Linked DNA regions of Saccharomyces cerevisiae S288C. The gene in region 1 interacts genetically with each later gene. Each region holds a gene or a part of one and is shown in the gene's direction. Other genes may lie near its edges.

Region 1 (5,991 bases):
CGTTGATTTTAACGCCCATTCTCTTATGCATCCGTAATCAAACACTCTATAACATCTCTTGCAAGCAAACATTTGGCACGTATAATCCATCTCTACTGTACAAATCATACAAACATATGAGTCACCGCTAGAAATTTCCTGGATCGCACGTTCGTAATATTGCATATCATCATCACTTTCCTCTTCATACGAACTAGGCTGCTCGTTGGCGTCTTCAACACTCGAAATACACCCATCGCTTAGGTTGTGATGTCTATAAGTGTCACCGCCGTCTTGATTTTGCTCCAGGCCTAAAGACTCATGTTCGGTCATTTGTAATGCCTACGACTGCAAATAGATTAGAGCAGTCTCGTCTCACGCTGTTTCACTTGGTTGTTGCCACTGTCGCAAGAAAGAACTTTTATATTTACGACCTTTTCACAGAGCTCATCGATAATTTTTATAATAGTATATTACCCGAAAATCTTCCTTTATGTGCGGGATGTATAGATTATTGAAATGTCTTTTCCGTAGTACTACAGCAAAAATGCAATAATACATATCAGATATACACATATATACATGAATGTTCTGAAAGTTTAATCTCTTTCAAAACAGACAGCAAAGAAACCAATACCACCGTCACTTTTTGGTAGTGCCCTGATACAACCCTCGGCAAGCTGTTGAGGGTCATAGGTGACTCCATCTCTAAAAACCTCTTCGAACTCTTCTACCTTGCCTCTTCTAGGCCAAGAAGGAATAACTTCTCTTTTTGGCGCTACTTTCCAACCCCATTCTCTAACTGACTTATCTAAAAGAAGGTCTATGACGACTCGTTCATTTTCTTCCGCATGAATGGAACATGTGCTGTATACTATTTTTTTAGCCGCTGGGAAACTCATTGCATGCTTTACCATCTGGAACTGAAATGAACTCAGCTTCGCTAACCTTGTCTGTAGTTCTTCCTTTGCTATAAACTCCTCTTGCTCATCCGGCACAATGCCACCATCGTCATCTTTATCATCAATTTTCCTTCTATTAAATGAGTCAAAAAACTTACGACCAAATATACCGCTACCGGAGCAGCTCGGATCTACAATAAAACAAGTAACGTCCTTATATTTTTCAGGAGTAGCGAGCTTTGTAAAATCACCTACATTGACACTGATGTTGGGAGAACAGCCAGCTATCTTGATCATTTTTTGTAAAACTTTTGCTCTTTCAGGATCCTTCTCGAAAGCGTATATTCGAGTATTATTGTCCTTCGGTGGTTCGGGATATATATAAGAGGCCGTATGGGTAGTCTTATTACCTGGAGCAGAGCAGGAATCTATCACAATATCACTTGGTCCTGGATTCAAAATGTGGGCTGGAAAACAAGAAGCACGATCTTGAATGATAATCTTCCCATGCTTATAAAGCTCATGTGCTGTAATTTTGTCAGACGGATGAATTCCAAACAAGTTTGGAATAAACTCATCATAATAGATAGACCCAGGAACTAGTTCAGACCATTTGTCTACCTTTAAAGTAAACTTCTTCCTCAATTCGGCTAACACCGGCTCAGTCTCACCATTTGGATGGCATTTTAATGGATTGATTCTAATCCATCTAACAGGAGGAAGGTCATTGGAAATATCCTCGCTTAATACCAACTCAGATAGCTCTCTTACTTTCAATTTGAGTTTCAATTTGACCATTTCGCTATGCAATGGGCTCTTAAACTTCAAAACATAATCTTTGATGGGGTGTTTGCCCATTTGAATTCTTTTCTGCTTAGACAACAGCAAATCATGGCAAAGCAATAACAAAGTTAGCCTTGAAAAGAGTGGTTTGCCCTTTTTCTTGGGTATATCTTCCAATATGTGTGCCTTTTTCATCACTTTCTCCAAATATGGTTTATATTTCCAACACGAATCGAGAACTGCATAAATATGTTTTGGATTACTTTTCAGCTTATATCTTTTACAGCTTTTCAGTACCAGCGTCTGCATAGAGCCGGAAATCCTTTCTTTTGCAGCCTCCTTCTCAATATCTTCTAGCACCCATGTTGCATCCCTGTAGAAATTCATGCTTTTTCGTAGCTAACTTCTCAGTGAAACACTTGGTGAAGAACCAGCTCTTCTCTTAACCTCATCGAATATTTTAGGCCAGTTTTTTTTTTCCTCACTTGCCATTTTCCCGCACCGTTTGGAAATCTCGAGGAAAATGCTTCTTTCCAAAAGTTTAATCAGGTCACTAATTAGGTAAATAGAGCTGGGAGGAAGCATATACAGTGTTTCGTCTGTGGAAGGAACTTTTATTTTTCTTAAATGTTTTAATTTTTAGTGACCTAATTCACATAACAAAATATTGAGAAAGGGAAAGTTGAGCACTGTAATACGCCGAACAGATTAAGCATGGATTCTGTAATGGTTAAGAAAGAAGTACTGGAAAATCCAGACCATGATTTAAAAAGAAAGCTAGAAGAGAACAAAGAAGAAGAGAATAGCCTCTCTACTACTTCTAAAAGTAAAAGGCAGGTTATTGTTCCCGTTTGCATGCCAAAAATCCATTATTCACCGCTGAAAACTGGTCTTTGCTATGACGTTAGAATGAGGTATCATGCAAAGATTTTCACATCGTACTTCGAGTACATTGATCCACATCCAGAGGACCCAAGAAGAATATATCGTATTTATAAAATACTAGCAGAGAATGGTCTGATTAACGACCCCACTTTAAGCGGCGTGGATGACCTTGGTGATTTAATGCTGAAGATACCTGTAAGAGCCGCAACCTCCGAAGAAATCTTGGAAGTTCATACAAAGGAACATTTAGAGTTTATTGAAAGCACAGAAAAAATGAGCCGAGAAGAGTTATTAAAAGAGACTGAAAAAGGTGATTCCGTATATTTCAATAATGATTCTTACGCGAGTGCTAGGCTGCCTTGTGGTGGCGCCATTGAAGCATGCAAGGCGGTTGTCGAGGGGCGTGTAAAAAACTCTCTAGCTGTCGTAAGACCACCTGGCCATCATGCAGAGCCTCAAGCTGCGGGTGGTTTTTGTCTCTTCAGTAATGTTGCTGTTGCTGCCAAGAATATCTTAAAGAACTACCCAGAAAGTGTAAGAAGGATAATGATTTTAGATTGGGATATTCATCATGGTAATGGCACACAAAAGTCATTCTATCAAGACGATCAGGTGCTATATGTGTCATTACACAGATTTGAAATGGGTAAATACTATCCTGGGACCATCCAAGGACAATATGATCAAACTGGTGAGGGTAAGGGTGAAGGATTCAATTGTAATATTACTTGGCCGGTCGGCGGTGTTGGTGATGCAGAATATATGTGGGCATTTGAACAGGTAGTTATGCCTATGGGGAGAGAATTCAAGCCTGACTTGGTGATTATTTCTTCAGGGTTTGATGCCGCGGATGGTGATACTATCGGACAATGTCATGTCACCCCAAGTTGTTATGGACACATGACACATATGTTAAAATCTCTAGCTAGAGGTAATCTTTGTGTAGTTTTGGAAGGTGGATATAACTTGGATGCGATTGCAAGAAGCGCTTTGAGTGTAGCAAAAGTACTAATAGGGGAGCCTCCTGATGAACTACCTGATCCATTAAGTGATCCCAAGCCTGAGGTCATAGAAATGATAGACAAAGTAATTCGGTTACAGTCCAAGTATTGGAACTGTTTTAGAAGGAGACATGCTAACTCCGGTTGTAATTTTAACGAACCTATTAACGACTCGATAATATCTAAAAATTTTCCTCTGCAGAAGGCTATTCGTCAACAACAGCAACACTATTTAAGCGACGAATTTAATTTCGTTACTTTACCGTTAGTAAGCATGGATTTACCAGATAATACAGTGCTATGTACTCCAAACATTTCCGAATCTAACACTATAATTATAGTCGTTCATGATACTTCTGATATCTGGGCAAAGAGAAATGTTATTTCAGGTACAATTGACTTATCCTCATCAGTTATCATTGATAATTCTCTAGACTTTATCAAATGGGGACTTGACAGGAAATACGGCATCATTGATGTAAATATACCTCTAACTCTGTTTGAACCTGACAATTACTCAGGAATGATTACATCCCAAGAAGTTCTAATATATTTATGGGATAACTACATCAAGTATTTTCCTTCTGTTGCCAAAATTGCTTTTATTGGAATAGGAGACTCATACTCAGGTATCGTACATCTGCTTGGTCACAGGGATACTAGGGCTGTTACTAAAACGGTAATTAATTTCTTGGGAGACAAGCAGTTAAAGCCACTAGTTCCTCTAGTAGATGAAACATTGAGTGAATGGTACTTCAAAAACTCACTTATATTTTCAAACAATAGCCACCAATGCTGGAAAGAAAATGAAAGCAGAAAACCAAGAAAAAAATTCGGTAGAGTTTTGAGATGTGATACGGACGGGTTAAACAATATAATTGAAGAAAGATTTGAAGAGGCTACAGACTTTATACTGGATTCGTTTGAAGAATGGAGTGATGAAGAATGAGGAAAAACTGGCCATTAATAATTTTTTTTCGGCAACCTTCATGCCTTATGAAAGTTGAATAATAATAAAGTTGTTACAATGTTCATTGTATAATCCAATATATCTAAAATAGGAAAAAGAAATGAACAAATGCATTAAGCTGTGTTTTACTAAGTATTATGGGAAAACGTATACATTAAAGTGGATGCTTACATATATAACACATTGTAATAAAGGTTCTTTGAACATGTTACCAGCCTCTTCAGAGATCGATCCGGTTCTGTTGAGCCAAATACTCACTTATCCAAGGATAACTTTCGTCCCGCGAGGAGCAGTGGTTTTGGAGGAGGTTTAGGCTTTAAATGTGAAGGCTTAGGTGGTGGGGTAGGTTTTGTTTTTTTGTCTTTTGAAATCGGGCCACTTGATTTCAGCATTGTTGGCTTATCTATCTCCCCTTTCTCATGCAGCTTGACCTTGGACATTTTCCTAGCGTTGAATGACTCCTCAGAAGAGTTGAGTTTATCGATCATACGCTGTTGAATGGAGTTCTTCAAATTCTGCTTAGATACGTCCAAATCTTCATAAGATGGTTTGTTAAGATCGTCTTTGGAATTATCAATCGTATTAACGAATGTCGACTTAAAAGGTGAATTTTCGTGTTTCAAATTTACCTTTGTAGACGTTGGGGTGAAGCTAGTGCCTGGTAGGCTTGATGAAGTAAGAGATTCCTTTACGGATTGGTTTTTTTTTATGTTACCGCGTGTGGAATAAGAACCTAGAGATCGAGTTTTCTTTAATTCATCTACGTCTCCAGAATAAGATTCATCTGAAGAGGAAGAAGAATCTTCGTACTGGGGTATTATGTTTTGTAGTGGAAAGTCTATTGAATTATTCTGCCTAAAAGTATGTGCTTCAGAGACAATTGCCTGCTTTAACTTGGTTGCGGAATTTGCCTTGAGTTCGTTGTCATTATTTGAAACACTACTCGCTAGCGGTTCAACAAGTGGAGGATCCAATGCGTGGTACATATTCTGTGATTTGTCAAAAAGTGGTTGAGAACCTTTGGCGGAATTACTGAAGCTAGCGTCATATGCTATTTGTGATGGTTTTCTATTAGGATGCATTTGTGCTGTTGTAGTATTATCAGCCATGCTGATTTGAAATGTAGCGTTCGGCATCGTATTTTCCATGGTTGTGGGAGAGTTCAAGCTTAGAATATTTTGTGTTGCCGAAAGCTGATGAAGTTCGGTCAAATTCAAATGGCTACTGGGCGCCTGAACCACTTGTATGTCATTTATTGGACACGGAACATTTTGCATAATTGATATCCTCTTCAGTAGTTGATAAACGTTAGGCCTATGGCGCGGATCTTGAACCAATATATCACGTATTAAGCCTTTCAACTGTTCACTGTAGTTCGGATACAATGGAAATTCAAACTTTCCGCTTAATATGGCAAGATCACCGCCCTTTTCAAACGGTGTTGTGTAATAGCAAAGCTTATATAGAAAAA
Region 2 (4,132 bases), on another chromosome or scaffold:
ACCTCTACCACCACAAGTACCTCATCGTCGACTTCTACGACCGTAAGTGTCACATCATCAACATCTACCACCACAAGTACTACGTCGTCAACCCTCATTTCCACGAGCACATCATCATCATCATCATCAACTCCAACCACAACATCGTCAGCCCCCATTTCTACAAGCACGACGTCGTCAACTTCCACTTCAACAAGTACAACATCGCCAACTTCTTCTTCAGCACCTACAAGCTCGTCTAATACAACACCAACGAGCACAACGTTCACTACGACATCACCCAGTACAGCCCCTTCAAGCACTACGGTTACTTACACCAGTACCACAGCATCTCCAATAACGTCCACTATAACTTCTGTAAACCTGCAGACCTCCTTAAAGTATTCTGTGATAACAGTGACTTCAGTGCACACCATGGACACTAACATTTCGGAAATCACCTCGAGATATCTCACCATGAAAAAAGTAATAACGCAGATTTACTCTTCCACCCTCGGGGCTACTCCTACTTCTGCAGTGGCTACTACGTCTGCCAGCGTAGGTGGTAGAATAACAAACAATAACAATAGTAACACCACCAACAGCAATACACCAACTAACAAGTCTACAGAAAAGAAAGGGTACTGGGATTCGCCCGGGAAAATAGCCGCTACTTTCGTCGTGGTTGGAGTGGTATGTTTGGTAATTATATGCATACTAATATACTTAATACATCATTATAGAACAAGACCCGCTCGGAAGGCTCAAGATTTTGAGAATGAATATCAGAGTAAGTTTTACCAGTCCAAGTACCCAAATGAAGTTACCACTACCACGTTACACACGCCTTCACCATCTTCAAATTCAACTTTCTCGACCCCAAGATTAATATACACTGATGAAAAGGGACAAATTATGTCTGAATCACCATCCCCACGTCAATCTACGTATTCCTTGACTGCAGGCAGTCCACCAAATGACCCAAGCACGTTGGCAAGCCCATTTCACGATCCCATTCTTCCCAGAAGAACTTCTACTTTTCTTCATTCGCCCATTCAAAAGCAACACGAAAAAATGGAATCAAACGTTACTCTAGGTGAAGACACGGTACTGGTGGATCAGAGGCTAGACCCAAGTAAGATGCTTAACACTTTAGCAAATGACGATGCCACAAACCACTCTACCATTTCGTTATCAGACAACGTAGACTACTCCAGGAGGGTTCTGCGGCTAATGAACGAATAAAGACTGCAGCTCTTATACGTAATAAATATTCCACGAACGATAATACATACATAATTTTAATTCTGAACTTTGTTTTTTTCCTTCGAATGTTCTCAAAAGAATGCTTTACGACAATAACGCTGTTATCTTGTACATACTTTTCTCTGCCCAGTGACAGCAGGCACAATAATCTAAATACCGCGTTCGTGCGAGACATTCTCTGTGATTCACAGATTACGGCGCAGAAAATAAAATAGCCGTCCAGCTCGGAGTTTCTAAAATTACGTCCGAGATGACGGAGGCTTATAAAATCATTTCAGACGGGTGAGGGATGCCAATCTACGAGACAAAAGATAAAAAATTAAGACTCAATAATATAGAAAGGAACTAAATGTTTTCATAAGAGTCACCGTCTATAACCTTTTTTTTTTTTATTGGTCTGTTATCACTTCCACTGAGAAAGTAATATTGCTATTGCACAACACTTTTTGAACAAGTGCAAAGATAAAATACTGAAAACGGTAAAGTAGGTTTGTTTAAATTGACTTAAGATGGTGCCATTGGAAGATCTGCTTAATAAAGAAAATGGCACTGCCGCACCTCAACACAGCCGGGAGAGTATAGTAGAAAATGGGACAGACGTTTCTAACGTCACAAAGAAGGACGGGCTGCCCAGTCCTAACCTATCTAAAAGGTCTTCTGATTGTTCGAAGAGGCCTAGAATTAGGTGTACCACGGAAGCTATTGGCTTGAACGGTCAAGAAGATGAACGGATGTCACCAGGCAGCACTTCTTCATCATGCTTACCATATCATAGTACTTCACACTTGAACACTCCTCCATACGATCTATTGGGCGCTTCGGCAGTTTCACCCACCACATCATCTTCCTCTGACTCGTCCTCCTCCTCGCCATTGGCACAAGCGCATAACCCGGCAGGTGATGACGACGATGCGGATAATGACGGTGATTCTGAGGATATAACACTATATTGTAAATGGGACAACTGTGGTATGATTTTCAACCAACCAGAGCTGCTATATAATCATCTGTGTCATGACCATGTTGGCAGGAAGTCACATAAGAACCTACAATTGAATTGTCATTGGGGAGACTGTACCACGAAGACGGAGAAAAGGGACCATATCACCTCGCATTTGAGAGTTCACGTACCATTGAAACCGTTCGGTTGCTCTACGTGCTCCAAAAAGTTTAAACGTCCGCAAGATTTAAAAAAGCATTTGAAAATTCATCTGGAAAGTGGCGGTATTTTGAAAAGAAAGAGGGGACCCAAATGGGGCTCAAAAAGAACTTCTAAGAAAAACAAAAGTTGTGCAAGCGACGCAGTGTCGTCTTGTTCTGCATCTGTGCCTTCCGCTATAGCTGGTAGCTTTAAGTCACATTCTACTTCTCCACAGATATTACCCCCATTGCCCGTGGGTATATCTCAACATCTGCCTTCACAACAGCAGCAGCGGGCTATTTCCTTAAACCAACTATGCTCAGACGAGCTATCTCAGTATAAGCCGGTATATTCTCCACAATTGAGTGCCAGATTGCAAACGATCTTGCCGCCATTATACTACAATAACGGCAGCACGGTAAGCCAAGGTGCCAACAGTCGGAGCATGAATGTCTACGAGGACGGTTGTTCTAATAAGACCATAGCAAACGCCACCCAATTCTTCACCAAACTATCGAGAAATATGACAAATAACTACATTTTGCAACAAAGCGGTGGTAGTACTGAGTCCTCGTCATCATCTGGGCGCATCCCCGTAGCACAAACAAGCTATGTGCAGCCACCTAATGCTCCTTCATACCAATCCGTACAAGGTGGTAGCTCTATTTCGGCCACTGCAAATACAGCAACTTATGTGCCAGTACGGTTGGCCAAGTATCCAACTGGTCCTTCGCTTACTGAACATTTGCCACCTTTACATTCGAACACTGCCGGTGGTGTTTTCAACCGCCAATCACAGTATGCTATGCCACACTATCCATCTGTTCGTGCTGCGCCTAGCTATTCCTCCAGTGGCTGTTCTATATTACCGCCTCTACAATCAAAGATACCAATGTTACCATCGCGCCGTACAATGGCAGGTGGAACTTCATTGAAGCCTAACTGGGAATTTAGCCTGAACCAAAAAAGCTGTACTAATGATATTATCATGAGTAAGCTGGCGATTGAAGAAGTAGATGACGAAAGCGAGATAGAGGATGATTTCGTAGAGATGTTGGGTATAGTGAACATTATCAAGGACTACTTGTTGTGCTGTGTCATGGAAGATTTAGATGATGAAGAAAGTGAGGACAAAGATGAAGAAAACGCATTCTTGCAAGAATCTTTAGAAAAATTGAGTTTACAAAACCAAATGGGAACTAACTCAGTTCGCATCTTGACCAAGTATCCCAAAATTTTGGTATGATATGGATTGTCGGATATTTTATTCTTAGTTGTTTCTTTGCGGCTGTATAGTAAATGAATAAATCACACATGCCCTAGCGCGGCGTCGCGGATTAAACAAGGTAACAATGGTTAAAGGAAAAATTATTTGTTAAGGTGGGTATATTATAGATTGCTAATTGTAAAGTATTAATAGTTTATTAAGTATTAAACTAGAGTTCGCACATGCTTTTATTTTTTTGTTGCTTTTCTTCACGCTACCGCTTCTTGAGACTGTTGTTTGGTAGTACTGATATCTTGATCGGTTGATCCCGAGCTGCGATTACCCGTGGAGCAAACTTCTTGATCCTGCTGTAGCGTACCGTTTGCTAAGCCTTCATAGTAAAGTTCCTCGTGAAACTGGTTTCTCAACACAATGACGATGATGGCCACTGGAGTGCATACAAAGGCAATTACAACGGCATAAATCAACTTCATGACCTGCGGTAGTGGATAATCGTTGAAGTAGTAGTCGTGGGACCC
Region 3 (4,195 bases), on another chromosome or scaffold:
TCCTTTGACACTAAAATTCAAAAAACTCACTAGAAAGTTCACTAAAGCGCCTTAGCTGACTACAGCACAACCCAACCCCAAAAACTAGTGAACTACACACTAAGAGAATTTATGGTATTTCCATAATTGAAGTATATGTACGATGTATACAATGTAAACAAGAGAGTAATGAAGTGAAGATATGTACACCTAGAGCGAACCAATGATAATTTGTTTTCTTAATTAAGAAAAACCATTAAAACTGGATTAGATTTCAATAATGAAAAGCTAGGAACAAAAAAAATTGGTCTACTTCCAGCCATTTGCGCTTTATATAGACATATGGAGGCGTGATGTCTTAAGCATGGTAATCCGGAAGATCAGTTTATTGAATGATGGTTTTCTTATCCTGAAGGATCCTGCAAATGAAGTAAGTTCAAAGAATTGAAATGAAATCGCCTTTTATACCCTCGCCGCACCAAGGAGCGCGCTGTGAAAATTTTTCGCTTTATCTCTTAGGGCTCCTACTGTCGGTAGAGAAAAGTTGAGTATATTTAAAGCATGAGGTAACTTTTCTGCCCATTTTTACTTCTATTTCCATTTGAATTCAGAAAAGTGAAGCAAAATTACACCATGAGTTCCTATTAACGTCAGCCTCTTTTGTACTCATAATGTGGCTTCGGATGTTTGATGGGCGTTGCTTCAGTGCGTACGGCTCATGGTAGATTAATTATTAGAAAGATGTATCTCCAGCTGTTGATATTAGAGGGGGAAGCCTTTCTCTTTCACCTCGCCTTTTTAAACACCTGATACAGTTGGTCATGATTCGTTCTACATTTTAATTTCTTTATGTAACCACGTTGTATATTTTCAATCTGGAAAGTAACCTAAAAGAGTAAAAACTGTTTATTAAAAAAAATGTTATTCAAAATTTATACATAGTACACGTACAGCTGCCTGAAGAAAGCATGAGCGAATGACTTATGCTTCGTCGTCTTCGTCTTCACTTTCCAAAGCAGCAAATGCGTTGAAACCAAGAATTGGCTTGTCCGCAACAATATCTCTGGTATCAGCAGGTCTGTTGGAAGAAATATTTTTGTTATTTGGCTTGACTTTTAAAGTTTCTTGGGCAATGGTAGCAACTGGCACAGTAGAAGTTGGTGTGGTTTCTGTTTCTTCTTCATCATCTTCTCCACTACCCTTCTTCTTGGCTTCAAATGTGCACCAACCATCTGAATCGGTTGTAACCTTAGGCTTGTTGTGCTTAATCTTTGGTCTACCATGATGGTGGGAAGATCTTCTACGACCGAAATGACCAACATGATGACTGTTAAACTCTTCCTCTTTCAAGTGTTGCAATTGCTTAACTTTTTCAATGATGGCTCTAAATTCCACCGCATCGAAATTAACTTCCAAAGTTAAACTTGGCTTCAGTTGAAAAAGCTCATCGATAGTATACTTGATCATGTCGTGAAATTAAATAAAAGTTCTTAATCCTATATTCAGGTTACAGCTCAAATAATGTCTATCGCAATCGGTAGAATATGCTTTACGCCAAATACTTTTTCCAATTTTTCACTATTTTTCGTCCAGGAAAAGAGATATTCAAGCCTCGCTACTACCCGGCTTTATAATATAGCATAAGAAAAGGGACTATAAAGCCTTATTAAAACACTACTATACCCTTGCAGAGAGAGTATTATTATCTATGGAGATCCAGGCAGTGTGACATGAGTGAACTGCTTGCCATTCCACTTAAGCGAACTTTAGAAGTGGACTTTGCCACGGAGTTGTCAAAACTAATTGATACTACTTCCTTTCAAACGGCATCCTTTTTCCAATCAGACATACTCAAAGTTGTTGATGCAAGAAACAATGCGATTGCACCCGATATCTCAATCGACGGTCTTTCTGCACTGAAGGAATACTATGTAATATTGTTGCAATTAGAGAAAAAGTTTCCCAATAATCAAATAGAATTTACATGGTTTCAAACGCTATCACAAAAATCTCGTGGTACTAGTCAATACTCATTACAATGGGAAAAATTAACCATTATTTATAATATTGGTTGCATGTATTCACTGTTGGCTCTAAATAGCAACAATGATGCAGCCGAATCCCTCAAAACGTCATGTCTGTACTTCCAGAATGCCGCCGGATGCTTTAAACATGTTTTAGACCACCAAAAAAATCTTGAGACAATCCCAGTGGTAGATGACGCCACATTGAACGCTTTAACCTCCCTGATGCTAGCACAAGCGCAAGAATGCTTCTGGTTTAAAGCCGTGCAAGATAAACACAAGGACTCCTTAATCGCGAAGTTGTCACAACAGATCGTGGACTTCTACTGCGAGGCTATTAATGACGCCCAAAGGGGGAAACTTATTAGAAGTGATTGGATAAACCACTTAAAGGCTAAAAAGGCTTACTTTAGTGCGGTGACTTATTACAGAATAGCCTTATCTTTTAATGAGAAGAAGCAGTTCGGAAATGTTGTGAAAGCTCTGCAAATGGGATTGCAATTTATAAATGAATCAACACTATCTTCGCAAGCTAAGTTTAAAACTGTTGTCGAATCTTCTCTGAAAGAAGCCCAAAGAGACAATGAATTCATCTACTTACAAGAAGTTCCTTCGGAATTACCATCGATCAAACCAGCTCTCATGGTTAAACCATCTTCTTCAGCAACATTGTTGCCTTCTATTAAAAAGGATGAGACTTTATTCAAAGACCTAATCCCTATAGAAGTGATGGAATATTGCACAGCATACAATGAAAGGCAAGATGAATACGTTGAACAACGTGTTACCAATCCCCTTGCTTCCCTAAATAAACTATTGAAGGAGTCCTTGACTACTTTCCAAATACCACAAGGGCTTACAAAGGTGAGTGAAGCAGAACTGAGTCATTACCAGGCATCACTGAATAATCTTCTCATTAATAATAAAAATGTGCAGGTACAACTCGATAACATTGAGCAAATTTTAAATGAAGAAGCATTTACTGACAATCAGCTCCGACTAAAACACGGAACCTTAAATTGGACTTTACCCGAATCTTCAACTACTAACACAGCATATTATGAAAAACTAAAAAAGCTGAGAGGATACCTTGATGAAGGTAGTGCGATTGACAAACAAACAAATGAACTATTTCAAAGCATCGATAAAAATTTGATTGGATCAGAGATCAGGTTACCGGAATCTAATGATCCTCTAACGAATAAGATTAAGATGATCATACAGGAAAGAAATGATTATATTGATAGGACGAGGCGGAAATCTTCAGAATATAGAATACTTCCAAAGATCATTACATCGTATAAAAAAAATGGAACAGTCGACTTTGAACCCATTTTCATAGGCCATTTAAAATACTTTGACGAAGATTTAAGATACGTTAATAGTACAAAGGAAGAAAATATCAAACTTATTGAGGAAGTAAACCTAAGTAAGAAGAATAACCCCGGCAGAAGCGGGATTGAACCAAAGAAAATGGTAAGAATAGATCCCAGAGAGCTATATATTGAAGATCTGAGATATTCCTTCAAACTGCTTGATGAGGTGAAAGAAAATTTAAGTGCCGGCACAGCATTTTACGAAAATTTAATTACTTCTACCAGCAATCTGTACAATGAGGTACAGGAATATGATACAGCAAGAAGAGCAGAAAAAGCTAGGCTTGATAAGAGTTTGACATTTGAAGACCAATGATACCTGTCCTCATTCATCTATAAAGTATATTTTGAGCTTGTCATCCTCCCTTTCCATTATCAAAACCCAGCTTCACTTATGTAGATATATACACTCAGGATAAACTCCTTTTTCCTAATATTTTCATTCCACAGTCTCCTTCTTGTTTATTTTCCATTTTTCAAAATCAGCTTGACGAGTGTTTCTTTTCAAGTTGGATTTATGTCTTCTGCTACCCAAATGAATTTTCCAATATTTTTCGCCAATAGCTACAACGTTCTTACCATCTGCGTTACGACAGACGTTGCAAGTATAATGTGTCCAATCGTCCAATTTCTTCATCGTAGTTTCGCCTTTAGACAACAGCTCCTCTAGGGCTTTAGGTGCCCTTTCTTGCTTGATGGGTCGATTGCTAATAAAGTCATTGGAAATAGCTATCGCTCTTTGAGATGCATTCGTGTCCCATTGAGAAAGGTCAGTGGCATCCAGTAAGTATATATCGCCTTTGATGTCAGGTATCA

The links. A genetic interaction does not mean that the proteins touch.
Region 2: mutations in HDA1 (region 1) and RIM101 together harm fitness more than expected from each alone (negative genetic interaction), as found in Saccharomyces cerevisiae (4 studies listed by BioGRID, with this or other methods).
Region 3: mutations in HDA1 (region 1) and RIM20 impair growth when combined (synthetic growth defect), as found in Saccharomyces cerevisiae (5 studies listed by BioGRID, with this or other methods).

Annotation. Positions count from the first base shown.
Region 1 is NC_001146.8:590,849-596,839, forward strand, and holds HDA1 (histone deacetylase HDA1), read left to right. Parts: upstream 1-2,378; coding exon 2,379-4,499; downstream 4,500-5,991. Other genes in the region: FAP1 (Fap1p), read right to left, coding at 1-312; rRNA (cytosine-C5-)-methyltransferase RCM1, read right to left, coding at 579-2,051; serine/threonine protein kinase ARK1, read right to left, coding at 4,775-5,991. UniProt on the Saccharomyces cerevisiae protein: Responsible for the deacetylation of lysine residues on the N-terminal part of the core histones (H2A, H2B, H3 and H4).
Region 2 is NC_001140.6:49,357-53,488, forward strand, and holds RIM101 (alkaline-responsive transcriptional regulator RIM101), read left to right. Parts: upstream 1-1,754; coding exon 1,755-3,632; downstream 3,633-4,132. Other genes in the region: WSC4 (Wsc4p), read left to right, coding at 1-1,224; YHL026C (uncharacterized protein), read right to left, coding at 3,863-4,132. UniProt on the Saccharomyces cerevisiae protein: Transcription factor that mediates regulation of both acid- and alkaline-expressed genes in response to ambient pH.
Region 3 is NC_001147.6:838,584-842,778, reverse strand, and holds RIM20 (Rim20p), read left to right. Parts: upstream 1-1,709; coding exon 1,710-3,695; downstream 3,696-4,195. Other genes in the region: CAF20 (Caf20p), read right to left, coding at 961-1,446; MOD5 (tRNA dimethylallyltransferase), read right to left, coding at 3,819-4,195. UniProt on the Saccharomyces cerevisiae protein: Required for the proteolytic cleavage of the transcriptional repressor RIM101 in response to alkaline ambient pH, which is necessary for sporulation and invasive growth.